Linked DNA regions of Oryzias latipes. The protein of the gene in region 1 interacts with the protein of each later gene in a pairwise test. Links are inferred from orthologs where the notes say so. Each region holds a gene or a part of one and is shown in the gene's direction. Other genes may lie near its edges.

Evidence for each region. The genes of interacting proteins can lie anywhere in the genome.
Region 2: the proteins of eef1g (region 1) and klhl18 interact in binary tests that used the Homo sapiens proteins (3 or more experiments, as listed by UniProt). The two-hybrid records come from large-scale screens. The link is inferred for Oryzias latipes from reciprocal best matches to the Homo sapiens genes EEF1G and KLHL18.
Region 3: the proteins of eef1g (region 1) and ilf2 interact in a two-hybrid assay, tested with the Homo sapiens proteins (2 studies listed by BioGRID and IntAct). The two-hybrid records come from large-scale screens. The link is inferred for Oryzias latipes from reciprocal best matches to the Homo sapiens genes EEF1G and ILF2.

What each region holds. Positions count from the first base shown.
Region 1 is NC_019868.2:13,732,780-13,739,392, reverse strand, and holds the start of eef1g (elongation factor 1-gamma), read left to right. Parts: upstream 1-2,770; 5' UTR 2,771-2,847; coding exon 2,848-2,859; intron 2,860-3,614; coding exon 3,615-3,773; intron 3,774-3,860; coding exon 3,861-3,924; intron 3,925-4,226; coding exon 4,227-4,369; intron 4,370-4,480; coding exon 4,481-4,624; intron 4,625-4,725; coding exon 4,726-4,855; intron 4,856-5,184; coding exon 5,185-5,389; intron 5,390-5,927; coding exon 5,928-6,100; intron 6,101-6,613. Other genes in the region: polr2g (DNA-directed RNA polymerase II subunit RPB7), read left to right, coding at 121-171, 281-346, 484-555, 1,179-1,212, 2,380-2,393. UniProt on the Homo sapiens protein: Probably plays a role in anchoring the complex to other cellular components.
Region 2 is NC_019875.2:12,844,300-12,849,571, forward strand, and holds the start of klhl18 (kelch-like protein 18), read left to right. Parts: upstream 1-1,295; 5' UTR 1,296-1,348; coding exon 1,349-1,477; intron 1,478-2,424; coding exon 2,425-2,555; intron 2,556-2,636; coding exon 2,637-2,777; intron 2,778-2,849; coding exon 2,850-3,048; intron 3,049-3,819; coding exon 3,820-3,980; intron 3,981-4,133; coding exon 4,134-4,270; intron 4,271-4,941; coding exon 4,942-5,164; intron 5,165-5,272. UniProt on the Homo sapiens protein: Substrate-specific adapter of a BCR (BTB-CUL3-RBX1) E3 ubiquitin-protein ligase complex required for mitotic progression and cytokinesis.
Region 3 is NC_019869.2:21,696,313-21,701,769, reverse strand, and holds the start of ilf2 (interleukin enhancer-binding factor 2), read left to right. Parts: upstream 1-1,480; 5' UTR 1,481-1,609; coding exon 1,610-1,614; intron 1,615-1,968; coding exon 1,969-2,028; intron 2,029-2,886; coding exon 2,887-2,929; intron 2,930-3,007; coding exon 3,008-3,112; intron 3,113-3,203; coding exon 3,204-3,281; intron 3,282-3,526; coding exon 3,527-3,629; intron 3,630-3,857; coding exon 3,858-3,923; intron 3,924-4,406; coding exon 4,407-4,523; intron 4,524-4,974; coding exon 4,975-5,053; intron 5,054-5,134; coding exon 5,135-5,222; intron 5,223-5,432; coding exon 5,433-5,457. UniProt on the Homo sapiens protein: Chromatin-interacting protein that forms a stable heterodimer with interleukin enhancer-binding factor 3/ILF3 and plays a role in several biological processes including transcription, innate immunity or cell growth.

The sequences.
Region 1 (6,613 bases):
CCTTTTGTTGAACGCTTGTTTTTCACATGGAAAACGTAGATTCATGAATTGTTTTTCTGAATTCCAGTCTCTTTAAATACATTTTCTATCCTCCTTTAACAAAATTTGGGTTCTTTGCAGGTTGGCTTGTTCACAGAAATTGGTCCCATGTCCTGCTTCATTTCTCGCCATGTAAGTTTATGTAACATTTAACACTTTACTATATATATATCTTGACCTAATATGTAGGTATGTTTTTATATTATTGTTTGTGTATTTTATTGTTTTTTTATTCTCCCAGTCGATCCCTTCAGAAATGGAATTTGATCCCAACTCCAATCCACCTTGCTATAAAACAGTTGACGAGGTATGTGTCATTACTCTGTCTGTTTTATGCAATAGTAGATTTAGCATGCAGAGACATTGAAGGCTACTTTTCTCTTTCAGTTTTTAATCCTTGTGATACATTTGATTTTAATGAACATTTCTTATTGTGTTTATTAGGACATTGTAATCCAGCAAGATGATGAGATTCGACTGAAGATTGTGGGAACACGAGTGGACAAGAATGACATTGTAAGTTTTTTCCATAAATATTATTTTTGATCTTTTGACCAGTAGCGACACAGATCCATTAACATCTTCATTTTCCTTGACTGAGCTGCCAGGACTGGATAGCTCCAAAAATTCCTCGCACTATTGTCATCTTGGGGCTGTAAGCTAGTGGGAAAGAGTGTAGACGGAGGATTGATACGAAATTAGCGCAGGATTACTTTGCACCAATAGTCCCGCTGACAACTCAGAGGTGAATCTCTGATGAAGGTTCCTACCATTCGGCAGAAACTATGTCCCAGAGAACATCACAGTTTTTTGTTGTTTTTTTTGGCCAAAAGCAGCACAATCCTAATGAAAAGACCACTGGGAACAATTTAACAATAGATCAAAAGATGATTGGATTGGGACTTTAGGTCCATATGGATTCTTGTAATGTTCCTTTCTTTGACTTTCTGGTGTTTTTTCAAACCATTTAAAAGAAGAACAACAAGCTTAGTTTGAATACAGCAGGATCTGGTTTGACAGTTAGTCAAAAGCCTGATTACAATAAAAGCAACCTCACTAAAACATCTGCTTGTCGAAATACCCATGTAAAGAATTGTGCAAAACTATTCATTGAAACAAGTTTCCTCTTTGTTTTCTAGTTTGCCATCGGATCTCTGATGGATGATTATTTGGGTGAGTATTAAATGTCAAGTCAGAATTATTTTTTTTTTTTTTTCAATCAAACAACAACATAACTAGACGATGATGATCTTTATATAAAAAGAACACATACTTTAGAATCTAAAATATGTTTGGTTACTATTTTAAATTAAAATTTATTTTCATTCGTGTTGTATTATTTTTCTTAACTGTCATCAAATTCATTCAGTGCCAGCATTTGGAAATTCTAATATTCAAACATACGTACAACATTTTATACACTGAAGTTTAGGATTTAGTTTTACATGAAGGACCTTCTTAAAATGATCTTCAACTTCCTTTATCTCACAAAATAGATAACTTATTAATTCTTCCAAATATTCAGTGATTCTTTACCATAAACAGTACATTTTCAACGCAATTGATACCTCACAGTATACAATTGTCATTTGTTTTAGTACAGTTTTCAATGCAGTATTATGATTTAATGGTAACATTTGGTCAATAATATTTTCATATTTTTAAATCACAGTGATTATTATTTGAAAAGGTATTACTCAGAAAGTAAATCTGTCAGATTTCAGTTTGTAAATTGCATATAAATGGCATTAATAAGCAATAAAATATTGTCCAAATGTAAGAGAAGAATTCAAAATAAATTTCACGAAAGAGGCTGCTCTTCTTGTTAAATAAAACGGACCAAAACTCATTGAATATGCATAATCATGCTTAAGTGATATAGGTCATAAATCAAATTATTTTTTAAAACACTTTTCACACGTTGGTAACACAAATGCTTTGCTGAATAAAAAATATAATTTTAACTTAAGTTTGAAGGCAAACTTAGCGTAACCCAAACTGCCACCCAGCCCAACTCGTTCATCTACAATTAAAAAAAAATAAAAAATTCTATAACCTGAAGCATTTTCTCAGTCAAAATGTCGAACACCAGAAGCACTGTTCGATTTATAATTGATTATTTTAATTGTTGTCTAACTCGGGTGGAGATTGTGCTGATGTTGTCAGTCATAAACAATGTTCAAATTAGTCATCCTCAGGCCGTCCACACGGTTACAGAATAATGCACATAATGAAGTGTGTATATATATATATATATATATATATATATATATATATATATATATTATGCCGTTTACAGATTCTATATCAAACTAACCCTGGCTTTTTCTTTTTTTTAAGGTCTCGTGAGCTGATTTCTTTCAGCTGAGTGCTCACCACCTGGGACAATTTATGTAGTAATAACTTCATGATTTATATTCATGTTATGGTAGGATTTAGTCAAAGCCTTGCTGTTTTTTTTCCAATAAATTAACATTCTTTATTTTAGTTAGTTGAATTGGTGTCAAGAGATTAATTCTGCAGTTTTGTGTTTTTATATATATATAAATTTGGTTTAAGTGGAATACATACCTTCAAATTTAGTTGTATCATTTTTGTACTTTGTAATAAAAGATTTAACTTTTTCGTTTATCTTTGTATCATTTTTTTAATCACATACGTCGACAAAGTATTTGTTGGAGTGTCCAATATTTATCTTCTAACACTTGAAAACTCAGTCACGTGCGCAGCAAAATGGATGGGCACGTGTCACGGTCGTAAATACGTCACTGATGTGCGCCGTCGTTCTTTCTTTCTCTCGTCCTGAAGATGGCGGCAGGGGTGAGTAAGATGGAGAGGAGGCCAACAATGGAGTTTTCTTTCAACCTTTTCGTCACAATCCGTCTCGTATCTATGTCATCTGCTCTGTTATTGTGTCGTTTAATAGACACATTAGACCATGTTGCTGTTTTTTAGTTGGTAGAGGGTTTATTTGTCATTTATATTTAAGAAGACGCTAACAATCCTGCCTGTTTAATGGCTAACTCGGTTGTGCCACGTTACAATATTTCGTGAGACTGGGGATGATGCTCCTAAATTTTCCGTGGCCATGCCACTTTATGACCGACGCATTTTTTAGAATGATTAAAACAAAAATCCCCAGATCCTCTTTATTCTTTTGATCGAACCAATCAAATAAGTGAACAGATCAGATGTGGTTTGCTAGTCTTACAAAAAGCACAAGTCGCGCTAAGCTAGCTTACTTCTAGTTTGTTTCTAAAACAATGTAACCATGCCACTTAAGTTTAAGAGGCGTTTCAGCCTATTGGTATTCCATATGTATTTACTTTTGGTAAAATCTTTTTTAAAAGTGCTCCGTTTCTGATATGCTCATTCATTAGCCAGGATTAGCTACAGCTGGCATCGTTATCACATTACCTCAGTCTAAACCTTTTCTCATATGAAACAATACAGTTTAAATTAGGTTTGGACCTGCATTAAAGCAGTTTAATCATAGAAACGTGCACAGAGATTGCATAACTAGATGGATTCAATACATTTAGTCACAAGCTGATAGAAGTTTTCCTGTATTTCAGACTATCTACACATACCCGGAGAACTGGCGGGCCTTCAAAGCCCAGATCGCTGCCCAGTACAGTGGTGCTCGCATCAAAATCGCCAGCACCCCCCCTGCCTTCACCTTCGGACAGACGAACCGTACCCCTGCCTTTATTAATAACTTCCCGTTGGGCAAGGTGAGGGCAGCTCAGTCACATTCAAGTCTTGTTCTTTTCCTCATTAACTAGTTGGGTTTCACACAGCATCAAATCCTGTGGTTCTAGGTACCTGCCTACCAGGGAGATGACGGCTTCTGTCTGTTTGAGAGTAATGCCATTGCTCACTACTGTAAGTCACATTTTTTTACTTCTTAGTCTCTCTAAACGGTCAGAACAGGTTGCTTTAATTGTTATCCAGATTCTCTAAATCAATTCTATTGAGTTGAGGCAAAACGATAGTGAAGCCTTGTTAGCAAATGTTGCTAAATTTGGGGGTTTTGCAGTATGGTTTTATGAATTGTTTAAATTTCGTGTTTTCATAAATCCACTAACTGCTTTGTTCATTCCATGGAAACTCATTTGTCTTGAATTTGTATGAGGCTTTTGGTTTTCAAAGATCAACCGGTTGTTTTTCTGGCTTGTGGCCTACAGTGAGCAATGATGCCCTGCGCGGTGCCACGCCTCAGGCAGCAGCGCAAGTGCTGCAGTGGGTGAGCTTTGCTGACTCTGAGATCATCCCTCCAGCAAGCACATGGGTCTTCCCTACTTTGGGAATTATGCAGTTCAACAAGCAGGTATGCAAGTCTTTATTTTCTGGATTATTTGGTTATTGTGACATGATTCTAAATCACTGGCTAACTGTTAAGTTTTAAACTATTTTTTTTTTTTTTTTTTTTGGTGTGTAGGCCACAGAGCAGGCCAAAGAAGATGTAAAGAAGATCCTGACCGTCCTGAACCAACACCTGAACACTCGCACTTTCCTTGTGGGTGAGAGAATCAGCCTTGCGGACATCACGGTGGCCTGCTCCCTGCTCTGGCTCTACAAACAAGTATGCAGCTTGACACTTTTCACTGTGTTAAGTGGAACCTCCAGCATTATTTGAGCTGGTGTGTTTTCCATAAATGAGCTGACCTGTTTTATCTTTTGTAGGTCTTGGAGCCTTCCTTCCGCCAGCCCTATGTTAACGTGACCCGCTGGTTTGTCACCTGTGTCAACCAGCCCCAGTTCAAGGCCGTCCTCGGGGATGTCAAGCTGTGTGAAAAGATGGCACAGTTTGATGGTGAGTCAACAAGAATGTACTTGTTAGAACCCTGGATTCATTTAAAAACTATTTTCCCTTTGTATACCAATAAGTTTTATTGCACAACATTTGGCTTCAAAGGTGAACTGACATCTCTTATGTTCCCCCCGGAAAGCTTTATTGTTTAAACTTTTAACATGGTTACTAAAGTTTGAATAAAGCAGAAACATCTGGTCATGCAGGGTGCATGCTCGTCACTGGTTAATCCAAACATAACATGAAGATATCTTTTCATTTTCCAACTTTTTTTAATAATCTGACTCAAGCATCTTCTTCATAGAATAATCCATGCCGTGCTTTTCTTCTAGCAAAGAAGTTTGCTGAAATGCAACCTAAGAAGGAAGCACCTGCCAAAAAAGAGAAGGGAGGAAAAGAGGCAGCCAAGCCCCAGGAGAAGAAGGAAAAGAAAAAGGAGGAGAGCAAGCCTGACCCAGAAGAAGAAATGGATGACTGTGATGCTGTTTTGGCTGCAGAGCCTAAAGCAAAGGATCCCTTTGCTCACCTGCCAAAAAGGTACCCAGTGTCCAGTGTTGCATTCAATCACTTTGTACCAGTAGTTATAGATGGTTTCAAACGTGTAATTGGAGTACTCTATCCCCTGTGATTGGGCAAGACTGTGTCCAATCATGGCATTACGTCTTAATCAGACGGGGGAAAAGAAAGAAAAGACCACATTCATCCCAGTCATCTCTATTTCAGTGGGTATAAGGCTGGTTCATGCTGTGGCCACATGTTGTATATCAAAAGCATTCAGTGCATTAAACCTGAGATTACCTCTGATTTTATTTTACTTTCACATCCTCACATTTTGCATTGATGGGACAAAATCTGGTTAATGTGAAATGGTGTTGGGATAACGGTAAAGTCATGCTGAAACATGGTACATTTATTTTGACATTTGTTTGTTGTAAATGTAAAACAATGGTAGACATTCATCATGTTGGGCTTCGTTTTGATGTTTTTGTAATTGCATTTATGGTCTGCTGTCTTAATTCTGCTTTAGTTAAGAGCAGAACAATGATCTCCGTGTTGTTTGTTTCTGTTTTAAAAGCACATTTGTCTTTGACGAGTTCAAGAGAAAGTACTCCAACGAGGACACCTTGACTGTAGCAATTCCTCACTTCTGGGAGCACTTTGACCGCGAGGGCTACTCCATCTGGTACAGTCAGTACAAATACCCAGAAGAACTCACACTTACCTTCAAGAGCTGCAACCTTATTACAGGTGAGACCAAAGGGGTTGGCTGGTGTATTGTCAATTCATTACTTTTTGCATCTTCCATAAAAGTAGTGGAATGTTTGTTTAGTCAGTAACACGAAGATAAAGGAGACCATGTAGGGGATTTTAGTGTAACATTTTAATTAGAAATTTGTGCATAACACTCTTCGCTTAAGAACTTGTTCTAAGCATTGATATTTTTGGTGATTTCTTCATTTATTTTCAAATCAATTTTTAACTTAAATGGTGATGTTGCTATGGCACCAACCCTTTAGTTTTTAGACTCATCCCTTGAAGTGAATGTGTTGCAGTTTTGGTTTTTAAAACTGGTTTGTCCAAAGGGTGGATCAAATGCAGGGATAAGTTTAGTAGGCTTATTCTGTATATCTATTTGATCAACACAAAGGAGCTGCACCCTTCAAACGGTTTCTGGATTATGTGTTATAACTGATAGTAAAGTTTATTTTGTTGAAAAAGTAAGATCAGAAATGTTTTTAATTGTATTTTGGCCCCATTTCC
Region 2 (5,272 bases), on another chromosome or scaffold:
ATCAGCTTCTCTGAAACAGAAAAACTCACAGTTGTTAATCTCTCGATTGACCAACTCAGAGTTCAAGTTTAACCTCAGAGTTGGTTGAACCTCCTTTCTGAAACAGGCCCCTGGAATCCTTGTTTGTTTGTTTGTGTTAATTCTCAAAAAAAAAAGTTAAAACTGAAATTGATGTTGAAATTTCTTTTTCCTGATGGGCCATAATTTGCTTCGGTCCCATTGATTGTGTGCATTGACAGTGAATGAGAACTGGAGTGAGCTACCCCCCCCCCCCCCCCCCTCATCTTCCAAACAGGAAGTACCTGCTGGTCAAAGCCAAGCTCCAATAGACGTCTATAGAAAACCTAAAAGCTCCTTCTCAGTCATTCTATTTTTCAGAATAACCATTCTTGCTCTGATACATTTTTTTGCATGTTGTAGCCTTTTTTTCATGATTCTTTTTCCTTTTATTGCAAGTTATAAACTGACCAATCAAATGCCTCAGTAAAAGTATGTGGTCTCTCATCAAACGTTTGGAACATTTGATTGACAGATTCTCCCGAGCCCACTTTCAGGTGGAAGGAGTGTGGACTTCCAACAAGCTCTCTCCGGATTGCTGAAAGCGGTTGCCATAGAAACATTGACTCAGACTAACACAGACCGATCACTGCTTACTGATGTTGTCAGGCTCCAGTATGGTGACCTCCGAATTGCGAAAAATGGTGATTAAATGGACTTCATTCACTTGGAGCCAGAAGTAAACCATTTTCAGTGGCTGACGTGACACTCACTCATTCCAGTTCTCCTATACAGTCAAAATTCCATACATTATGGACAGATACACAACCTTTGGGGGTCTCTGAGTTTGCCAAGAAGCTGCAAACAAGTCAATTAACCAGCAAAATCCTATAGAGGCCACTAAAAGTAAAAGTATTCATGATTAATCAAAGCTCGTCACACAGGAGGAAGCTGGAGAAATTCCACTGCTGCATCTCAGTAAGAGAAGACAACAGCGAGGTCATATTGCTAACCGATGCGTCCCTCAGGGGGTTTGTACTGGGAGGAGGCCCCCATGACTAGAGGGCCTGAGTCTGGGATGCCTTGGAGTTCCTCCTGTAGAACTGAAGGTTGTATTTGTGTTCATGGAGACTGTTGCCCCCATAACTCAGCTCTGGATAAGCAGGAAAAGATGGATGTGAAAATGTATTTAAAAACTGGGCTCATAATAGATACAGTACTTAGATGGCTGCCGGTCTCAGCCTGTCAACTGTGCGCTGCGCGCGGTTGCTACGGCATCTCGAAGGGTTCCATCTGCGCAGCCGCAGCAGGTACGGTGGCTCGCAGGGGTCAGTCCGCGCAGCCGCTGACGATGGGAGACGATCTCTGCGAAGAGCTCGAGGATTTAGTTCATTTTTCGGTGCACGACCTGCCGGCGCGAGGCTATGTCGTCATGGAGGAGATCCGGCGTCAGGGCAAGCTCTGTGACGTCACACTCAAGGTAAAAACTCCCTTCGTTTGAGGCCAGTCCGCCTACCGGCTACCATGCTAACAACATGCTAACAGCAGATTATGACGAGAGCTGATCGGGTTGTGACGTCACTGCAAGGTTCTGAGACTGAGGTGTGTGTGAACGTGCCCCCTTTCTGATGGACGGGCGTTTCCGCCATCGATAAGTGGCATTAGAACTGATCACATGATCGATCACGGTGATCCGCTTGACTGCGCCTGCATTAGTGGCTTAGGTACGTCACAGGAAGGTTGTCCAGTGACTGCAGACAGCTTCAGGTTCAGAGCAGGAGCAGATCTACACACGTACACATGTATTTCCGGGTCTGAGCTAGACCTGGTCACGTGACCATGAAGGAGCAGGTGTCAGGAGCTCGAAGGCTCAGATTTTGGATTGGATTTTTCAAAACATCTGGTCAAAAAGGTGTGACCGACACCTTTCAGTGGCCAGTGCCTCCAGCAGCATAGAGCAGCACCATCAGCACCAGAACAAGCAGGTTCTGTTGGTGTGTTTTCCGGTGCTGTAAGCTAGTGGAAGAGAATTAAACCGATTGATGACAGGAAGAGGTTGGGCTCACCCCGCACCGACTGTACTGTAATTTCTGACCAATTACTGCTCTACTCTCCAGAAACTATGTCCTAGAAAACCACACAGATTTTATGAGATTTTGGCTAAAGTCGACGTGAAAGACCAATTTTTACTTTCATTCAAAAGATGATGAGAGTGGGACTTTAAGGGGATCTAACAGGACTTTGCTTCTTGACGGATTCAAATGAATTTCATGTAGTTCTCTGGTACATTTTGGTGTGTCTTGGTCACAGTCTCGCCTGTCTTGGGATGCTGAGTGCAGTTCTTTCAGCTGGAGCTGCCTGTAACCTGAGAACATCTGTTGAAACAGATCATAGAACAGGTGATCTAACCCGAGGTTCCACCTGCAGGTGGGCGATCACAAGTTCAGCGCCCATCGCATCGTCCTGGCGGCCTCCATCCCTTACTTCCACGCCATGTTCACCAACGACATGGTGGAGTGCAAGCAGGACGAGATCCTCATGCAGGGCATGGACCCCAGGTAAGCAGCTGTGGAGGCAGGGCGTCAGGTATGAGATGCTCAGGGTCAGCAGAACCGGAATGAGCAGTGTCTTTGCTGCAGCGCTCTGGAGGCTCTCATCAACTTTGCATACAGCGGCCATGTGGCCATCGACCAACAGAACGTTCAGGCTCTCCTGATCGGCTCCAGCTTTCTCCAGCTGCAGAACGTCAAAGACGCCTGCTGCTCCTTCCTGCAGGAGAGGTGAGTGCCGCGGCACTGGCCTGGAAAACTGTCAGATCCCGCTGTCAGTGGAGTAACTGTGTTCTGGGTCAGGTTACACCCCAAGAACTGTCTGGGCGTTCGACAGTTCGCGGAAACCATGATGTGCACAACGCTGTACGACTCAGCCAACAGCTACCTTCACCAGCACTTTGTGGACGTCTCCCTGTCGGAGGAGTTCCTGGGTTTGAGGACTGAGGAGGTGCTGGAGCTGGTGGGCTGTGACGAGCTCAACGTGAAAGCAGAGGAGCAGGTGAGAGGCATCATGGGAGATGTTCTAGAGCAGCGGTCCCCAACCCCGGGGCCGCGGACCGGTACCGGTCTGTTGTTCATTTGGCACCGGGCCGCACGGAAAGTATAAAGAACTTGTATTACTTCCGTTTTATTTATTTCAGAATCTGAAAAATGTTTTATTTTGAAAAATTGCCCGATTCTCTATGTCGATCTTGATGCAGGCCTAGGCGCTCTTCTCTGTCACGTTATATGATACCGCTAAAATAAAACCCAGGAGCTAGCAAAATGAGTAAAAACAAACGTCTTGAAAGTTTCTTTGCCAAGGGGAAAACGCCCAGCCAGGAGACAGAAGAGGGAGCCTTCCACTTCCAGAAAAAAAGAAAGCTACATTTGATAGACAGTACTTCTATTTTGCACCATGAGTGTGGGAATCGGAGAGGATGATGACAGCTGTGCGAATTACAATGTTACACATGTCAAAATAAAAGCTCAGGACTCACCTTGTTACGTCCATGATCCTTTTTTTATCATAGCGTTGCTACATTAATTGTCAGCCCACACCTGAGAAACCGGTCCGTGAAAACTTTGTATGATGTCCTACCGGTCTGTGGCTTTAAAAAGGTTGGGGACCACTGATCTAGAGGGGGATGCCGAAAATTTCTGAATGAAGACACATGGTTATATTGTGGAAACCTAGGGATACCTGTGCAGGTGCACGGCATCTGTCACAATCACATGATGGCGCCATGTTCAGGTGTGTTGATGGGGTTTGTATGTGACACCTGTGTAGGTGTTTGAGGCGGTGCTAACGTGGGTTTATCACGACCGGGAACGGCGGGAGTCCCTGCTCCCGGAGCTGCTGTCAAAGATCCGACTTCCTCTGTGCCGCCCTCAGTTCCTGTCGGACCGGGTCCAGCAGGACGAGCTGATTCGCTGCTGCCACAAGTGCAGGTGAGTCCATAGCACTGAGATGCTCACAGGTGTGTAAATCTTTCTATACAAGATGGTAAATATTTCTTTAAACGTGCCTGCTCTGCTTGTTTTATTTTTGATTCCTTCCTGATTGATTGGCATGTCACTGATCAACGGATCCATTCTTCTCAGAGATTTGGTCGATGAAGCTAAAGATTTCCACCTCATGCCGCAGCGGCGTCCACATCTCCCCCCCTTTAAAACCAGACAGAGGAGCTGCTCCTCCATCACAGGACTCATCTACGCAGTTGGCGGTCTGAACAGCTCAGGTCAGCTGCTCATCTTTAGTAAATTCAATTCATTTAGAAAACTCCAGTTTATTACTAAGGTTCTCTTTAAGGACTACAGAAAAACATTAAAACGTCAGGCAGATCTTTATTGAATATTATGCTATAATCAAATTCGATGGCCGCTTTCAGCCAGACTTCTATCTCTCTGTGTCCCCCGAGTTGCTGTCCTGCAATAGTCAGGGGACGGAAAAAATAAAGATGAGAATAAAATTAGACAACTTTTTTATTATTTTCTGGATTACATCATCAACACGTCACGGACCAAAGCTTAGTTTCTGATTGGTTGATAGACGCAAATTCTTCACCAAAGTTAAGATGGTATATTTTCCTGCTGTCCAAAATAGGCTGCCGCCAGATTGCGGCGTATACCGCACAGATACCCGACGCTCAAATCGCACCGCAGCCCCTCTTTTTGCGCCTGTACATTGACTTAACATTGAAACTAGCCGCCCCTGACACGTGAATTGCATTCAGTGTGAATGTAGCTTAAGAAATACAATAAAAAGAGAAAAGATCTTTTGTAAAGGCATGAAATAAAACCTAATTTATAATTTAAAGATTCTCTGTGTTTTAAGCCTTTAGACTTGGACTAAACAGTATTGGACTAAGAACAGAACCCTGTGGTACACCTTGATCTCTTTCTTCCACAGGGGACTCCTTAAACCTGGTTGAGGTTTTTGACCCATTGGGGAACTTTTGGGAGCGCTGCCAGCCAATGAGGACAGCTCGCAGCAGAGTGGGAGTGGCTGTCGTTAACGGTCTGCTGTATGCCATTGGTGGCTATGATGGACAATCGCGGCTCAGCACAGTAGAGGTGTACAACCCAGAGGCAGACAGCTGGATGCAGGTCTCAAGCATGAACAGCCAGCGCAGGTCAGTTATCAGACAGATTGAACAACCCTGGAGTTAACCCTTTAACACCAGAGCTTGAGCTCCAGTATCGACGTTCTTTCAATTACCGTAACTCTTCAACCGTTGACG
Region 3 (5,457 bases), on another chromosome or scaffold:
AAACCTTTTCAAAAAGAGGAGATTGGACCCACATCAGAGTCATGCTCAAAAAAGTTGAGTTTTATTTTTATTTTGTTTAAGGTTTGTTTGTTAAACGTACAAAAAGAAACCACATTTACGTAGAAGAAATAATTATTTCCCTGTTTTCTTTCCAGAACTAGTAACATTACTTAAACCTCACAAGAAATGCATTCAATAGTCTTTTCATGTTTCTTATTGCTAACAAAACTCCAGAGGAGGACACAAGTGCAGACCTGTTCATTTTATTTCATTTTAAGTAGGGGTGTAACAATTAAACGACTCGATGAATTAATTTTTATTCGTACGATCCAACCAGATTGATCTATCTGAGGCAAGTTGTTTATCGAATCAAATCAATCTATACTATAAAGTCATTTAAAAATGAAAGAAATTGATTATTAATATTTGAAAATCACATTTTGATTGGTTAGTTTGTGTTACTATATTGTAAAAATGACCAAGTGCAATCACAGCGGACAACACACATGATGTCAGCAAAAAATGATCCAGCATTGTTTCTACACCCCTCTTCAAGAATATTGGTGATACAAATATTGTGTGGACCTGTCTGTGTGCGAAAGTCTTGTGGGATAAATCTTCCATCATGAATGTAGGAATATACTTCCAATCTGTAAATAGATGTGCAGAGAATTTGTTGATGTGTGAACTAAGTCATGCAATTTACTTATGACACTCGTATGTTTTGACCTTGTATTATCTAACCCCTCATCCCCTGTCTCCAACATCCCACTCTATTTCTTTCTTTCTTTCTTGTTTTCTTCCGTCTGATTCAACATAGATCGCATACAAAAATAATTATCATAAATAATGCTTATAGCCTCAAATACAAAAAAGGGGTTTTATACAAATCTACACTCTGTTTGTTGTTTGTCTGAAGATCCATAAACCCCTATTGTAACAGTAAAATCTGTCCAACAAGAGATCTTCAGTTCTGATCTGCTAGCTCAGCTGTTGGTCAAGTTAAAATAAAAAAAGATCAGTCCGTCAATATGATCCAATGTGTGGAAACAAAACACAGACATGTGACCAAACAGTGTGCTAGAATGTTCTAATAATGTTCTGTTTGTATTATTTTGATGTGATTTTGATGAAAACTTCCCCTGCACTGTTCAGTATTTATGTCTTAAGCCACACTGGTTGAAGGTTTGCCCAAAGATGTCCTGGATCAACTTTAGGTTAGTCAGTTAATCAGATCAAATTGGATCATTCAAAATGAACCAATATCGAAAGTGAATCGGATCAGCAACCACAAAATATGTGAATCGTTGTTATAGTGAAATGTCACATCGCTTATTTTAGGGCAAATTAAAAAATATTGTACTGTTGTAAATGTTGCATTTTTATATTATATTCTGAAAATGTTCAATAAAAAAGCTATATAAATAAAAGAGGTTGCACTTTTAACTCCTGGTCTGTAGGGGCAGCAGTGTGCTGTGAGCCTTTCCTCACCGGAAGTTTCACTAGCGCTGCCCCAGTCTATGTCCGGTTCTGCGCCTTCATTGCAGCAGCTGCAAATCTTAATTCTTCTCGTTTGTTTTATATTTTCGGAATCAAAACGTCTTACACGATGAGGTAAGCATATATTTATTCATTTTATTGGCGTCGGTGGTTGAACACGCTGCTCTTGTTGTTGTATTTTGATTTGTGTCCAGCCTGTAGCCGCGTTAGCATAATAACCTGTAAGTTAAGCAGCGTTTCCCTCATGTGTTTCAACTCTTTTTTTTTTTAGTTTAGGAGCCAATTCTGTGAATAAATTCACGCGTTTTCGTACACAGTTTTGTTTTTAGGCTATTTATATACTTATTTGTGTGAATTAATGTCAATAATCATTCTTCGTGCAGACCACTAGCTCCCATCAGATTATGTGTGTATGTCACTATGTGGCCTAATCATTTTTGTTTTATCATCTGTTCCCTTTCTGTGCAGAGGAGACCGCGGAAGAGGCCGGGGAGGGCGCTTCGGAGCCCGCGGAGGCCTGGTCCAGGGGTTAGTGTCTGTTTCCCAAACATTTTCAGAAAACAAAGTCTGATCGGTTCGTGTTGGCAAGCTTTTCTGCCCCCTACATTTTCCTTTCAACAACCCTCTGAGCCAGCTTGCTGATTACTTATATGTCTCTAGTCTGTCAGAAACTGGACACCTAATTCTTGAGGATCAGAATCAAGATGAACGGGGCTAGCTGGAGTAGAGGACCATGATGCTAGGATTGTTGTAACCTAAGAACACTCAGGATAAAAAAAAATCTAATATTCTAAATAGATTGATGACTAAAGATGCCCCCCCCCCCCCGACCTGTAACTTTGAAAAACCAACAGCAGTGTTGCCCATGTTACGAAAGTATTGCCTAAAGTATTAAATCACTTATTCAAATAATTAAATTGTGGCATTCCAGTCATTTCCATGGCCACAGACGCATAAAATGAGTTCTTCTGCAAACATCTTAAGGGATGTTGCCATCCCAGGAGATCAGTGAATTCCAGTTGTCAGAAGCTGTTCTCACCCCTTCCAGTTCAAGTGAAAGGAAGTCTGAATGCTGTAGGACACCAAGAGATTTAAAAATTTAGAAATGTTGCTTCCTGGTAGCACCATGACTGTGCACCACTGCTAGAAGCAGGCCCATAAAGACATGGATGAAGATGATGTGGAGTACAAATGGATTATAACTTATGATCATGCGTGTAAAGTCAAATGAGTGGCTACTTTTGCCATATAGCATGTGTCTGATGTAACAGTGAGAAGGTTTGAGCTTAAAGTGAGTAGTTAAAATCTCCACTTTATGCACTTTAAATCTTGGGATATAAATGTTTACATATGAACGTATGCTTAATTTAATCATTTTTTATGCAGGTACCGCCCGTTTGTCCCACACATCCCGTTTGACTTCTACGTGGTGAGAACAAGTGAACATAGCTGGAATATCGATGCAGAATAAGTGTGAGTCTTGACTTTCACTCCTTTCTTCCACCAGTGCGAGATGGCCTTCCCCAGAGTGAAGCCTGCTTCTGATGAGACGACCTTCAGCGAGTGTCTCCTGAAGAGAAACCAGGACCTGAGCCCCACGCCAGCAGAGCAGGTCTGACTCGGACTCGCCCAGGAACTTTCATCATCATCATCATATGTGCTTCTAACACATTTTGTTCCCTTTTTTTTTTTTTTTATAATAGTCCTCTATCTTGTCGTTGGTCACAAAGATCAACAACGTCATTGACAACCTTATTGTTGCTCCTGGAAACTTTGAAGTGGTGAGTTGCTCCACTAAAGAACCTTTGGTCCCATTTGAAGAACCTTTGGTCCACAGACTAAAGCAGCTTCAATGAACATGTAGATACATTTTTAACAATGAGGTGAAATATGAGGGATACTGCCGGTACATTTTTATTTTAGGCAAAACCAGACTGATTGAAGTATCTTTAATTCAATCACAGCCTTCTGTCACAATCCATGACCCACAACAATGAATAATTGTTTTTTTTGTGCCTCTTGACAGCAAATTGAAGAAGTCCGTCAGGTGGGTTCCTATAAGAAGGGAACCATGACTACTGGGCACAATGTTGCAGACCTTGTAGTCATCCTGAAGATCCTCCCAACATGTAGGTCATGAGTTTCTCATCCGGATGTTGTCAGATTCTTTTGTCTGATCGACTGTATGAGAATGGTTCATATATGTTGTTGATGCATCAAACATCCCAGTGCATCAGCACCGAATCTGAATTTCTCCTTAAATATTTTTTTTCAAACTTGAATGATGTTTTTTAGTCACATTTAATGGTTGTGAAAAATTGTGTCTTTATGTCCAAATATAATTTTGTTCTTTTTAGTGGAGGCTGTTGCTGCTCTTGGCAACAAGGTTGTGGAAACTCTCCGCACCCAGGACCCTACTGAAGGTAAATCACAGAGATCTCCTTCAATGAGTTAAAGCATCAACGTGATTTACAAGTTTACCCTAAAAATTGCTTCTGAAAATTTATTAAAGCTATTGTAAGATTTGCAGGAACTTTTTTTAAAGCATAAAAAATAATTTAAGTCCTACATCAATCATCTTTTGATCTATTGTAAAATCGTTCCCAGTGGTCTTTTAATTATGGTTATAGAATTTTTAGCCAAAATTCTAAAAACCTGCTGTTTTCTAGGACATTTTCTGCAGAGCGGCAATAGTTCATCTGAAACTCGCCTCTAACTTGTGGGTGGGGCGCGGAAGTAAACCTCCGCTTATTTCCTATCGTCACTTTTGTCCACACGCTATCCTGCTAGCTTACAGATGCTCAATACCCCAACCCTGTGCTGATTTGTGTTGTTCTTTTCTGTTAACTGTGTTTAACTGTGGGTGACTAAAACTGTTGTTTTTCTGCGTGTGCTCCTCCTATCAGTTCTGTCCATGCTGACCAATGAAACCGGATTTGAAATAAGCTCGGCTGATGCTACAGTTAAGATTCTCATCACCACCGTTCCACCCAACCTGCGCAAACTGGATCCAGAGTTACATCGTAAGAGAGCGCACACCCGCACAGCACTTTTATAGGAATGAGGCAGGCTTGTGAAATAATTGATCAATGTTGTTTGAAGAATGTGGTCTGAGCAATCATCTACTTCTTGTTGACTTTAAAGTTTGACAAATGATTCTTTGTTGATGAAAATCTATTGTTTTAATTCTTTAAATTTTTGATTTCTTCGGCTCTTATAGTGAACCAATTATTTAGCAGATTGGTGTTTCTGTCTGAGTGAAAAGTTCATAACTTATAGTGTTGATATTTTACAATAAATCGGTGTAGACTTACAGTTTGGACCTCTCCCAACATCTGTCAAATAAACATCTGTGGGTTCAGAAACTTGAGTGGAGCTGTCAATGTATCCATAATTCTGGTGGAGGTTTGATGTTCTGGAGGCTCTACACATTCACTTTACCACCACAAAAATGCTCGTTTTTTTTCTTTCTAGTGGACATCCGAGTGCTGCAGAGTGCTCTGGCTGCCATCCGCCACGCCCGCTGGTTTGAGGAGAACGCTTCTCAGTCGACGTGAGCGCCCCGCTCGTCTCTCTTTGTGTTTCTTGACGTGTGATGAGTATCTGTGAACTGTTGCACGTTGATGATCTTCAGGGTCAAAGTTCTGATTCGCCTCCTGAAAGATCTCCGACTGCGCTTCCCTGGATTTGAACCCCTCACCCCCTGGATTATTGACCTGCTGGTAAATCACACTGAAAAATACACAAGCACAAGAATCACGTGTTAAGAGGATGCAGGAACTGACATTTAGTTTTTCCATAACGCATTTTTTTTTTCAATTAAGCATAAACAATATTGCACATTTGTTGTGTGTGTGTACAAACATTTTGAAACCATTTCTTTAGTGAAACTGTAGTAAGCCCTGCTAATCTCAGTCTATGGTTCGTTGAAGGGCCACTCCGCAGTGATGAACAATC